3 linked regions of the Ovis aries genome follow. The protein of the gene in region 1 purifies or fractionates together with the protein of each later gene. This does not show direct contact. Links are inferred from orthologs where the notes say so. Each region holds a gene or a part of one and is shown in the gene's direction. Other genes may lie near its edges.

What was found.
Region 2: the proteins of ARPC5 (region 1) and ARPC1A fractionate together in Homo sapiens (co-fractionation; 8 studies listed by BioGRID and IntAct, counting the BioPlex papers as one, with this or other methods). This does not show direct contact. The link is inferred for Ovis aries from reciprocal best matches to the Homo sapiens genes ARPC5 and ARPC1A.
Region 3: the proteins of ARPC5 (region 1) and ACTR3B purify together in Homo sapiens (affinity purification with mass spectrometry; 5 studies listed by BioGRID and IntAct, counting the BioPlex papers as one, with this or other methods). This does not show direct contact. The link is inferred for Ovis aries from reciprocal best matches to the Homo sapiens genes ARPC5 and ACTR3B.

The regions. Positions count from the first base shown.
Region 1 is NC_056065.1:64,118,531-64,122,176, reverse strand, and holds part of ARPC5 (actin-related protein 2/3 complex subunit 5), read left to right. Parts: intron 1-2,304; coding exon 2,305-2,481; intron 2,482-3,646. UniProt on the Homo sapiens protein: Component of the Arp2/3 complex, a multiprotein complex that mediates actin polymerization upon stimulation by nucleation-promoting factor (NPF).
Region 2 is NC_056077.1:37,483,518-37,487,852, reverse strand, and holds the start of ARPC1A (actin-related protein 2/3 complex subunit 1A), read left to right. Parts: upstream 1-1,456; 5' UTR 1,457-1,582; intron 1,583-4,335. UniProt on the Homo sapiens protein: Probably functions as a component of the Arp2/3 complex which is involved in regulation of actin polymerization and together with an activating nucleation-promoting factor (NPF) mediates the formation of branched actin networks.
Region 3 is NC_056057.1:116,721,554-116,725,739, forward strand, and holds the start of ACTR3B (actin-related protein 3B), read left to right. Parts: upstream 1-1,305; 5' UTR 1,306-1,393; coding exon 1,394-1,437; intron 1,438-4,186. UniProt on the Homo sapiens protein: Plays a role in the organization of the actin cytoskeleton.

The DNA.
Region 1 (3,646 bases):
AAGGCTTGAAGAACAAGTGAAACTTTCACAAAATAAACACATGCTACTTGCTTTTGAAAGATTTTTTAAAATTCTACCATTCTCATAGAATTAAATTCTAATATTTAATTCTGTTAAATATTATTGAAAACTCAGAAATGTGGGGGAATGAAAATAATTATAATTCCATACCTGTAGATAATCATTACTTTTTGTTGTTGCTGTATGCTTATAGAGTTTTTCTATGAGTTTTTCTTTTCATTAAAATAGATAAACTGCTTTTCATCTGTATAGCAGCATACATGAACAGCTTTACTTGGTAATAAGTTTATTTCTATAATATCTTTTTTAACATCTGTATTTTGATAATCCTGCAGTTTAGTTATATATAAACTTTCATCATATATTTATTGACTTTTTTCCTGTCATAAATAGTATTGAAATGAACAATTCTTGGTAAAGTCTGAATTGTTTCCTTTGAATAAATTTCTGGAAGTGAATGGCTGGATTTTAGACTGCACATTTTTTTAAGGCTACATATGGTATTGCCATACTACCCTTCAGAAAAGTTGTAAAATTACATTGCCTCTTAACCATCTTTCAGTAATTCTTAAGAACCTATTTACTTAATTGTTTAAAGCCCAGATTAAATTTTTTTTCTTTTTTTTTTCAGATTAAATTTTAATGTTTAGTTCTGTTAAGTATTGTAGAAAACTCAGCAATATGGGGGAATAAAAATGTAATCGTCCATAATCCCACACCCAGAGCATTGATCCCCCCACTGTCCATAGCCATTCACACATCCTAGGAGCCCCAAGTATCTCCTTAGTTAAATACTAGTAAATAATAACTTAGGTAAATGCATTATTATCTAGGCAACATAATCTTTTATAAGAGGAAATGCTTCTTTGGTTTTTAAAAGTGAGTAACGTCATTGAAATTTCGTTTTACCACCTTCTGCTTTTTTGTGGGTGTTTTTTTTTAATCAGAGCGTGTGGGTGGGAGGTTATAGCTCTCCATACAAGGATATTTTTCTAAACGGATAATTGCATAGTCTTTAAACTGAAGACAGCAAAAGGTGGTAGAAGCATACTGTAAGATCATGACCGGCAGGAATGCAGAAGGTATCACTTTGTGTTGAATAGAAAGAGAAACATTGTTGAAAGGGGAAATTAAGTGTTCTGTGTACTTGGCTTGCTAGGTGAAAAGCAACTGCTGTTGGAGCAGTCATTCATCAAAGAAAAAGATCATTATAAATGAAGACCACTCTAATACCTATAGTCACTTGACTATAGATGTGAAATGAAAAATAAGTTTTAGAAACTTAAATTTTTATTTATTAATAACATTTCTGAAGGATGCATCAGGGTAGAACTATAATTCAGTTTCCTTCTTTTGGTCTATTTTTTTTAAATCAAGAAGTGAAATGTATTGATTTAATACATTGATAATTTGTTACATCTATCTGTAAGTAAACCCTTTCAGCTCTACCTTCAAATATGTCGAGACTCTGTCTGCTTCTGGCTGCCTCTGCTGCTGCCATGCCAGCCAAAGCCAGCCTGTCTTGGTGCAGGAACTTCCAAGCTGGCTTCCAGGCTTCTGTCTCCTGCTCCCCCGACCCTCCTGCTGCCCCGGGCTTATTTTCAATATGACAGCCAGCTGGTCCTGTTAAAATGTAAGTCAGATGACATCACTCTTTTTAGAAAGAAAGAAAGCGAAAGTGAAGTCGCTCAGTACCATAGCCTACCAGGCTCCTCCCTCCATGGGATATGTAAGTCAGATGACATCACTCTTTTTAGAAAGAAAGAAAGCAAAAGTGAAGTCGCTCAGTACCATAGCCTACCAGGCTCCTCCCTCCATGGGATTCTCCAGGCAAGAGTACTGGAGTGGGTTGCCATTTCCTTCTCCAGGGGATCTTCCTGACCCAGGGATCGAACCCAGGTCTCCCGCATTCCAGGAAGACACTTTAACCTCTGAGCCACCAGGGAAGTCCAACAGCTTCTCATTTCTGTGACTGGAGGCCAGAGTTCTCATAAGGGCCTGCAGGGTTTACGCGTTCTGTCTTCCTACTGCCTCTCTGACTTCCTGCCCTGCACTCCACTCCAGCCCCCTTCATCTTCTTGCTGTCCCTTGAGCACACTGAACACACGCTAGCAGCAGTTACTCTTCTCTCTCTGAAATGTTTGCCTCAGATACACCCAAGGTGTCCTCTTCCTTTCTTCAGGTCTCTACCCGAATGTCACACTCGCAGTGCAGCCTTTCTAAAAACTGGAACTACCCAACACAAAAATGAGACTGAACGATCTGTTGTTTATTTACCTTCAGGATCGCGCAGGCAGCATTGTCTTGAAGGTGCTCATCTCTTTTAAAGCTAACGATATTGAAAAAGCAGTTCAATCCCTGGACAAGAATGGTGTGGATCTCCTAATGAAGTATATTTATAAAGGCTTTGAGAGCCCCTCTGACAATAGCAGTGCTGTGTTATTGCAGTGGCATGAAAAGGTAAGTCATGAATTATACAATCTGTATGACTGGTTCCTTTGTAATGGAAAAAACATTGACAACCTCTAGCCTAAATACCTGTTTTGACTCTTTGGTTATACATTGGTGGTTACTACAAATAAATGCATGAAAATGAAAGTTTAGATTTATGCTTGCTAGCCTTGGTCTTGAGATGCTGATTTGAATTCTTTAACAATTGCCAAAAGCTGGAAAACCCACGCATCCATGAACAGATGAACGTGCATGCATGCGTGTGCAGTCGCTCTGCTCATTCATGTCCAACTGCGCAGCCCCATGAACCATAGCCCACCAGGCTCGTCTCCATCAGATCTTTCAGGCAAGAATACTGGAGTGGGTTGCCATTTTCTCCTCCAGGGTATTAGCCCACATCTCCTGCATTGCAAGTGGATTCTTTACCATTGAGCCATCAGGGATGCCCAAACAGATGAACAGAATCTGACACAGACATACAAGGGAATATTACTTGACCAGAAAATGTTTATCTACATGGTACAGCATGAATGAACCTTGAAAACATTATGCAAAGTGAAATAAACCAGATACAAAAAGACACAAAATACTGTATTCCACAAAATACTGTGATGGCTCAGATGGTAAAAGCGTCTGCCTACAATGCAGGAAGCCTGGGTTCGATCCCTGGGTTGGGAAGATCCCTTGGAGAAGGAAATGGCAACCCACTCCAGTATTCTTGCCTGGAAAATTCCATGGACAGAGGAGCCTGGTAGGCTACAGTCCATGGGGTCGCAAAGAGTCGGACATGACTGAGCGACTTCACTTCACTTCACTTCCGCTTGCATGAAATATCTAGAATAGGCAGGTTCATAGAGACAGAAAATGGATTAGAAATTACCAGTGCCTGTGGAGAAGGGAGACTGGAGAGTTATTGCTTAATGGGTACAGAGTTTCTGTTTGGAGAGATGGGAAAGTATTGTAAATAGATAGTGGTGATGGCTATACAATATTTGAACGTAATTAATGCCACTGAATTTTATATTTAAAGATGGCTAATGTGGCAAATTTTATGTTACATATTTTATCACAGTTCTAAAAAATGAAATCAGGAGTAGGATCAAGAATTCTTAATTTCTTTTTTCTGTTTTCATGCATTTTGCTTTGCAGTATTAGCAGATGCTGGTACACTATC
Region 2 (4,335 bases), on another chromosome or scaffold:
TCCTCTGTCCGTGGGATTTTCCAGGCAATAGTACTGGAGTGGATTGCCATTTCCTTCTCCAGGGGATCTTCCCAACCCAGGAATTGAACCCTTGTCTCCTGCATTGTAGACAGACACTTTACCATCTGAGCCATTCCAAGGTTCTTACACCAGACCATGATGCGATTAGGGGGCGATGTTCTGGACTAGGAATTATGTCAGCATTGCCACTGATTTCCATCAAAATCTTCCCGGAGTCTCAAAAACCTCTGGCCCTGTTTCCTCAGTTATAGAACATGATGGTTTCACTTAAGAGCCCCTGAAGAACTAAGAGTCTACCATCCAGAATGGCTCATAAAATATGAAAGAAAATGCATCAAATGGTAAGCTTTGTTTAGGCTGAAATGCAAAATATTAACTCAAAAGATAGAATCAGTGATTAACATTAAAATGTCTCATTGTTACTCTTCTGGGGCTAAATTATTTCTTACCTTGTCATTTATCATAAAGAGTCTGGTATTACTGATTTGTATGTATCCCTCTCATTTACCCAGCCTATAAACCCCTTCAAAGAAGGAACTGTCCTTTGTAAAGAGGTGGGATCTAACTAAAACACTGATGGCATTTTGACCCTGGGTAACAACTCTACATCCGGATTCGTTCATCTGACTTGGAGACATAAGAGGAATCCTCGCTTCCACGTGCGGTCCTTCCCCTGCCAGGATGCTGTCTCCAGGAGAGAATAATTAACTGAAAATGATCTTTCCACTCTCAATGTGCCCTAGAACGCCCTAGGACCAAAGATAACTATTTATTCCAGGGCATTAGCGCTGAATAAACAGCCCCAGAGAAGACAGTACGTGTGGCTGTTAAGTCGGGAATCTGACAAGTTCACTGTGGTGAACATCACCTGACAAGTTTCCGGGTCAATCACCCCAGGGACAGGAGAGCTGGTCCATAATTTCTGACTTCAAGGGCAGCCAGTCTGGTGGAAAGAGGGGTTCAGGTCACTGTCTTCCTGAGTTTGGGGGACGGCTGAACTCCCCCAACTCCTGGGTCCTGTGGCGCCAGCTCGGGAGCAGGGAACGATTCTGACCCAAGAAGGGTAGAGAACGTTCCTTGGAGAGACCTCCACAGAGGGAGGGCGGGCTCTGAAGAGGCCTCCTCACAGAGGGAGGAAAAAAAAGTAGGGATTTGTCCGTTCGTTTGGCTCAAAAGGTCCCAATTCTCAGGAATTCATTCCGTGACCAAAGCACTTGAGAAAGCGCCAAGGCTCCGCGCTTCGGTCCTCGAGTCTCAGGACATTTTGCGAGGAAAGCACCAAGAGGTCTACGCTGCCCCGCCACCAGCTCCCAGCGGTCTCTGGACGCAAACTCCTTAGAAGCCGCCCGACCCTTCCCCGCAGCGCGCGCGCCCCGGGGCGCGCGTGCGCCGACAGCCCGCGCCGCCGCGCCGCGCAGGCGCCGTGGCCACTTCCGGGAACTGTCAGCCGCTCCCTCTGGGCCTCGGTCCTCCGCCCGCGCCCGCCGGAGCCTGTTCGCGTCGACTGACCAGAGTCCGCGAATTCAACGCTCCGAGCCCGTCCGGACGGCCCCGATCCCAGGTAAGGGGCAGCGGGGGCGAGGTTCGGGCCCTGCTGGCCTCCCCTGGCCCGGGCCTCGCTCCCGATCTGTACCTGCGGGGGCAGCAAGGCGGGGGCTTAGGCCGCGGGGCCCGGAGGCGGAGGGGAGGGGCGGGCCGGGGGAGGGGGCGGGGAGGCGGTGTTCTCTGAGGGGCCTGCCGAGCCCTGGGGTCCCCGCACGCCCAGATCCATCTCTCAGCGATTTCCAAGTTCCGATGCTCCTCCAATGCCAGAATGAAAGATCGCTTCTCCTGCGCTTCCATTGTGGGCGTTTATCACAGGCGCTAAAATTGTAGTGAATGGGATCACCACCCCCACCCTATCGCGCGTCGCGAGGCACGGTTCATTCCTTTAGCTTCAGCGTCTAGAATAGGGTCCCTGAGCGCAGTAAGCGCCCCTGGAGTGTCTGTTCCTGTCTAGGGCAGCCCTGCATCCTTCAGCTATAGGGGGAACCTTTCCGAACCGGCGAAGAAGCCTCCCCCGAGTTCTTTAAGAATCTCCCCGCTTGAGTGCCTCTTTCCCCTAAGTCGCGGTCGACCCCCGGCGCTCCTAGTCCTCCGTGCAACCTTTAGCACCTTTTCTCATTTCTAATCCTCGAGTCGGACTGCCCAGCCTCCCTCCCATCCCGGCACCACGACTGCTTGGATGACCCTGGGAAGATTGCTGGTCTGAATCCCCGTTTTCTCATCTACATTTATAAGATCCTTAAGGGGTTTCTGAGGCTCCAGTGAGCTTATTTGCATACATTGCTTAGGATAGCCCCTGTCCCTTAGTATGTGCTCAATTAAGTTTTATTCGTGCTTCTTATATTGTCTGTGTGTCTTCCCTTCCTCTTCTACCCTTCTCCCCCCAGATTTGTGGACCAGAGAAGTGTCAGATTTATTTATGTTTCTGGTCCCAACCTGGTATTGCTCCACTGCTGGGAATATGGTAGGCCCTTTAATACACTGTGGGCTTCCCTGGTAGCTCAGATGGTAAAGCATATTTATCTCCTCCCTGCAATGCAGGAGACCTGAGTTCGATCCCTGGGTTGGGAAGATCCCCTGGAGAAGGAAATGACAACCCACTCCAGTATTCTTGCCTGGAAAATCCCGTGGTTAGAGGAGCCTGATAGATTATAGTCCATGGGGTCGCAAAGAGCTGGACACGACTAAGCAACTTCACTTTCTTTAATACATTGTAGTTTAGAATCTTTTATTATAAAGCCATCTGTTCTCATACTGGGGCTTTGGAACCAGAAGGCAGTGCTAACCTACTTTTATCTAATTCAACTCCTTGCCGAAATTACCTAAATTATCCTAGTTCTGCCCTCTTTCTTTAATCAGTTTCTAAATCTAGCCTTTTAGTATCCAATAGACCCTGGGTGTTTCAAGTATCTATTAAAAAAAAAAAAGGAGAGAGTATCATTCAGGAGGATATTTTTGCCACGTGAGGGAGTAGGTGTAAGTGGCTGCTTCTACCTCAAAGTATTTGGAGACCTTCCAAGGTTAATTCATCTGCTTATCACAGTTAAAGGAGGGGATCATCTTGGAAAAATAAATCTCCTGCTAGGAGGGAGAGGATCAGTAATTCCATCTAGTTAACTAATCCTATGCCGAAACAGGTTCTGCCTAATGAGGTTTAGTCTGCTGGTTGAGGCTGGAATTGGAACCTGTCCCTGAACACTGTAGAGGGTGTGGTGACCTTGTCAGAGTACCTGGTAGTGCTGGGTTGGGTGATGAGAGCAATTAAAAACTGGATGAATCACAGTCTAGAGCACTGACCTTAAGTAGGGAACTGACATCCCTACTGTACAATTACTTTAAAGCTCCAGGGCCAGGAAGGTGTTCCCAATTCAGAGGGTACTCCCTGGAGTGTATTTCTGGGGCTGGGTCAGAGGGAGAAAGGGAACTCATTTATTGAGTATCTCTTTGGGGGTAGGCTTTGAACCACATGTGTTCATGTGCTTTCTCATTTAATCCTCCCACCACTGGCCTTGCGATGTCAGTTCTATGTCCATTTCACAGATGAAGAAAAATGAGTTTGGGAGATAGCAAGTGACCTGCCCAGGATTTCCTGGCTAGTGTGTATTAAAGCCAGGATTCAAACCCAGGTCCCCTTGACTCCACCGCCCATGGCTCAAGTGATAGGTAGAGACTCAAGTGATAGGTAGAGAAAGGAACTGAGGGATGGAGGGGTCCCCTGGAGTCATATCGTGCTACAAAGAAGTCATTCTCTCCCTTTCCATGCTGGCCATTAAAAGGTCATCAGTAGAAGTTTGTTAATATCATCACCTTTTTTTGTCTGTCCCTTTTTCTTCTCTCTATCTTCAATAAGATAAGCTTTTTTTTCACTTAAGTAGAAATCACAGTTTAGAAATGATAATTATCACCCTAGGACAGGTTTCTTTTTCTTGGTGGAAAAAAAAAAAAACCCCAAGCTGTCATTATTCTACTTTCACTGAGTTTCGTGAACACATGCTGTGTTCACTGGTGGTGTCTTATGAATTGGACGAACATGAATGTTGTCTTGGTCTACAGACTTAAAATAGCCACATGATTATAGAAGTACAGGTCCTGAGTGTAGGTCCAAATATGGAACCTGAATGATATAACAAAATTAGAAGTGCAGTTTTAGAAGTTAATTATGCCATTGAGTAAATGTTTACCTCTTTTGAAGGCTTTGCTCCATTGCTTATAATCCTGAGTTTTAGAATGAGAAAGCCTTTTTCTGCACCTTTTCTAACTGTACACGAA
Region 3 (4,186 bases), on another chromosome or scaffold:
CATGGGATCCTCCAGGCAAGAATACTGGAGTGGGTTGCCATTTCCTTCTCCAGTATAGGAAAAAAAAAAAAAAAACAAAACACCCTCAAACAAAAAAGGAATCATCATGGGTTGTCTAACATGATCAAGTAATCTACCACTACTTCTCATACGGAAAAGCAGTTTAAAAATGCTTTTAATACCAGTTAAACTGCCTGGAACTACATCTCCAGAAGAGTCCTAAAAAGTAAGGTCAGGAATATATGATAGGGAGGGAGGAGGAAGCAAGTGGAATCTTCTCGACCTTCATAACATAGTTGGTAAGTGGTGTGAACTTTGGTCCGGGTTCCAGGAAGATCTTTTGGACATCACTTCACCTTTGATACTTGAGAATATGTTCCATAATGATCCTGGTGTAGTGTTAACCTGATCGAAGGTCAATCACCCCTTAAAGCTGTCCGTGCATTTGTTGCACAGGTTTTTCTTCTATAGAGGAAAGCATGCAGTGTTCTGACAGGTGTAAGAATTCTAACGTCAAGGTTTTTTTTTCTTTATTCAGAAAACATTTGGGTGTTTCCCGGAGAAGGCGATGGCACCCCACTCCAGTACTCTTGCCTGGAAAATCCCATGGACGGAGGAGCCATGGGGTCGCTAAGAGTCGGACACGACTGAGCGACTTCACTTTCACTTTTCACTTTCATGCATTGGAGAAGGAAATGGCAACCCACTCCAGTGTTCTTGCCTGGAGAATCCCAGGGACGGGGGAGCCTGGTGAGCTGCCGTCTATGGGGTCGCACAGAGTCGGACACGACTGACGCGACTTAGCAGCAGCAGCAGCATGAATGCACCAAGTACTCTGCTGCGCATCCTTGTCATCAGTGGGAAGACATTCAGGAGCCGTATCTAGCGGAGCCTATAGCCTGCTATAGGAGTACAAATAAATATATACACACGGTATAAATTTGCTCCAAATGTTGTGAAGCAAAGCAATAGATTGTTGAGATAGTGAGTAAGGTGCAGGGGGGTGAGGGGGCACCTAGCAGATGAGCAGGGACAGCTTCCTTGAGAAGGTGACATCTGAGAGGAGACTTAAAAGGATGAGGAGTCAGGCTTCGGGGTCAAGTCCACGGTAAGTCAGAAGAGCTCAAAGCCTCTCCCGCAGCGAGGTGGGACGTACAGGGAACGAGGCCCCGCTGCCAGCACTAAAGATGGCGGGCGGCCGGGGGCGGGGACAGGGCGTGTCATCGTAGTGATTGGCCAGGCGGGGGTGGGCGGGGCGTCACGTGTGCCGGCGGCGAGCATCCGGGCTCCCGGCGGCGGCGCTGCGGAGGCTCCCGGGAGCCCGGCGGTGGCGCGGGGCGGCGAGCGGGCCGGCGATCCGGGGAGCCTCCGGAGCCGGCCGCGTGGGCCGAGCATGGCGGGCTCCCTGCCTCCCTGCGTGGTGGACTGCGGCACCGGGTAAGAGCCGCGGGCGCCCGCTCCGGCCCCGGCGCGCCTGCCCCTGCCTGCCCCGCGGCCCGGCCCCCTGGTCTCACCTGGGGTGCCCCGGGCCCGGGTCGCGGCCCTCACCTGTCCAGGGGCCCCCTGACTCACTCACCTTGCTGGGGAGGGAGCCGAGGGGAGACGTGGCCTCCCCGCCTCCTCCTTGCGCTCGGCCGGGGCTCCCCGGGACCCGTACGCCTCCCGGGGGTGCGGGCTGCGCACCCCGCTGCCGTTCCCTCGCCTTCCGCCTGCCTCACGGCGCCCCTGCCTTCTCTTCAAAAGTGGCCCTCGTCCTGGGTCCCTAAGCGCATGCCATTTCTCCTCCCTGATAGGGCTTCTTTATCACTTACTTGTGGGAGGTTTTTACAACCGTCTCCCAAGTTGACATCTTTAAAAAAAAGTGTGTGTGTGTGTGTGTGTGTGTGTGTGCGTGCGTGTGTGTGTTTGCAGCCTACTCTGTCCTCTTCCAGTATTGAATGGTTCAGTCAGGCTAAGGTCTTGCTTTAGTTTGCCTAGAGTTGCCTTTGCACTTAAAAATGTTAAAAAAGGCTCCATTTTGAAAAACAGAAAAACCAAAATGTGGGAAAGGCTGTTGGTGGTAGTATAGTTTCTATGTCTGCCCCCCGCCCCCAGCCCGTTACTTGTGGGCCGTGATTGCTTCTTTTGATGTTGGGATATGCCAAAGAGACCCTTCGGAAATCTCCCGGTCCTTTCCAGTGGCCCAGGCTCCGATCATTTTTAGGAAGGTGCTCGCTGAATCCATTTAGGTTTTGGTTTAGAAAGTCAAGCTTGCCTGCTTGCACTGTAGGTGAAGTGCTTAATAAAATAGCCCAGAAGTAAGTTTAGCCTCTTAGAAAGATTTTTCAAGAGGGGATTTTAGTCATTTTTTGCCACAGAATATTCCATGGCACGTTCACGGTAGCCTTGATTCTTCTCTGTAGAGAAACGCACTTGGTTCAGTTTCCTTGACAACCTTGTGGGGGTGTCTTCCTTAATTTGCTACAGTCCATCTCCTACGGATTGTTCTTTCCTTTTGCTGCAGAAAAAGGAGTGGTTACAATCTGGAAAAAACTGCTTCTTTGCATATATTAATTTTCCTTTCAGAGATACACGTTGTACCAGAAGTTTTGGGGCTCTTTATTTCAGTAGTTGTTTTGCTACCCAGAACCTGAGCCAAAAGCAGTGTTGATAGGAACACCCCCACCCCCAAATACTGGCTTCCTTATGCATCTCCTCCCACCATCTGGTATTCACCCCACACCCACCTGAGGTCTGGTTGTGTCAGGAGAGAAGGCAGCTGGTCAAAGAATCTTTCATCCCCACATTTGCACGTGAGGTTTTTGTGGTTTTGGTCTTATAAAACTGTTGAAATACAAAGTATTTCTTGGTAGAAGCAACAAAATGTGCCCACAGGGTTTGTCATACCTTTAATATTAGTAAGCTGGGAGCCTTACTCATCATTCTTGCTATAAATACCAAAGTGTGGTGCTCAGTTATGACCGTCTGAGGTAGGTGGTATCTCACGTGGCGGTATAACTTCAGGATATCTTTGTCTTCTGGCCCCAAGTTATGTATCGTCTTCAGGCTGTTGTAGGCGTTGTGTCAGGACTAGAAATAGTGGCCAGGGATCCTGCCAGTGGGTTTCACATGGACATAGTCTTTTGTGGGAACGGTGATGGTCAGTCAGGAATTTCCAGTGTCCAGTGTGTGGCCAGGAGGAGGAGCCTGGAAGAGCCCAAGTTTATTTAAGCATATTACTGCTTCTTATATGTCCTGCAGAGCCAAGTGACTTTGGATTGACCTTTAACTCAAAATGGGATAAAAAGGGATAAAATGCAGATAAATATAACTAGGACCGAAGAAAGGAACAGGCCTGGAAAATCACCTTAAACTGTAGGCCCACAGTGCAGCTGGTTGGTCTCAAGCTTGGCCTTCCTGTATGACAAGATTATGAGAGAGTCATCGTCAGTTATGTAATTCCTGTCATCAGGGAAGAAGAGAAATACCTGTTTCTCAGGCGAAAGAGCTTTCTCTAGTACTAAATTCTAAAAGAAAGATTCACACTGATAGTGGACATTTATGATTGAGTAGACAGTATACTCAATGGTGCTTTTTAAAAATAGCAAATAAATTTCATCCTGGGAGCCTGGCCTCATCTAGTAAACCCTGAGACCAGCTTGGTGAGCACACGTGTTCTTGGGGGTGGGATGACATGGACCACAGCTCTGCCTGCTCCACAGATGAAGCTTCGTCCACTTAAGTGAGTTACTGGGCTCCAGAGTGTTCAGAGAATAGCCTCACTTTTCTTAACTGAACTTGTAGTTCTGAAGATTTTTGTATTCTTTAAACTTATTTTGAGAAAGTTCAAATCTACTGAAAAGCTGCAAGAAGAGTACCAAGAAAATGCTATATAGTCTCCATCCAGCATTCTAACTACTAACATTTGCTTTATTGTTCTCTGTATACTTTATGCGTTATTATCTTTCTGAACTGTTTGTGAGTTGCAGCCATCCTGCTGTTTACACCAGGGTACTTCAGTATATCCTTTATGAGAACATGCGTTCACAGACCAGTGATCAGAACCAGAAACTAACGTTTATGCTGCTCTGTGTTACCTGCTCTGCAGTCTGGATGCCGTGAATGGTCTCTCTGTGTCTCTGGACGCTCAGCTCTCCGCCCTCATCCAGCACCGTACACTGTGTTTGCTTGTCACCATGTCTTTTTA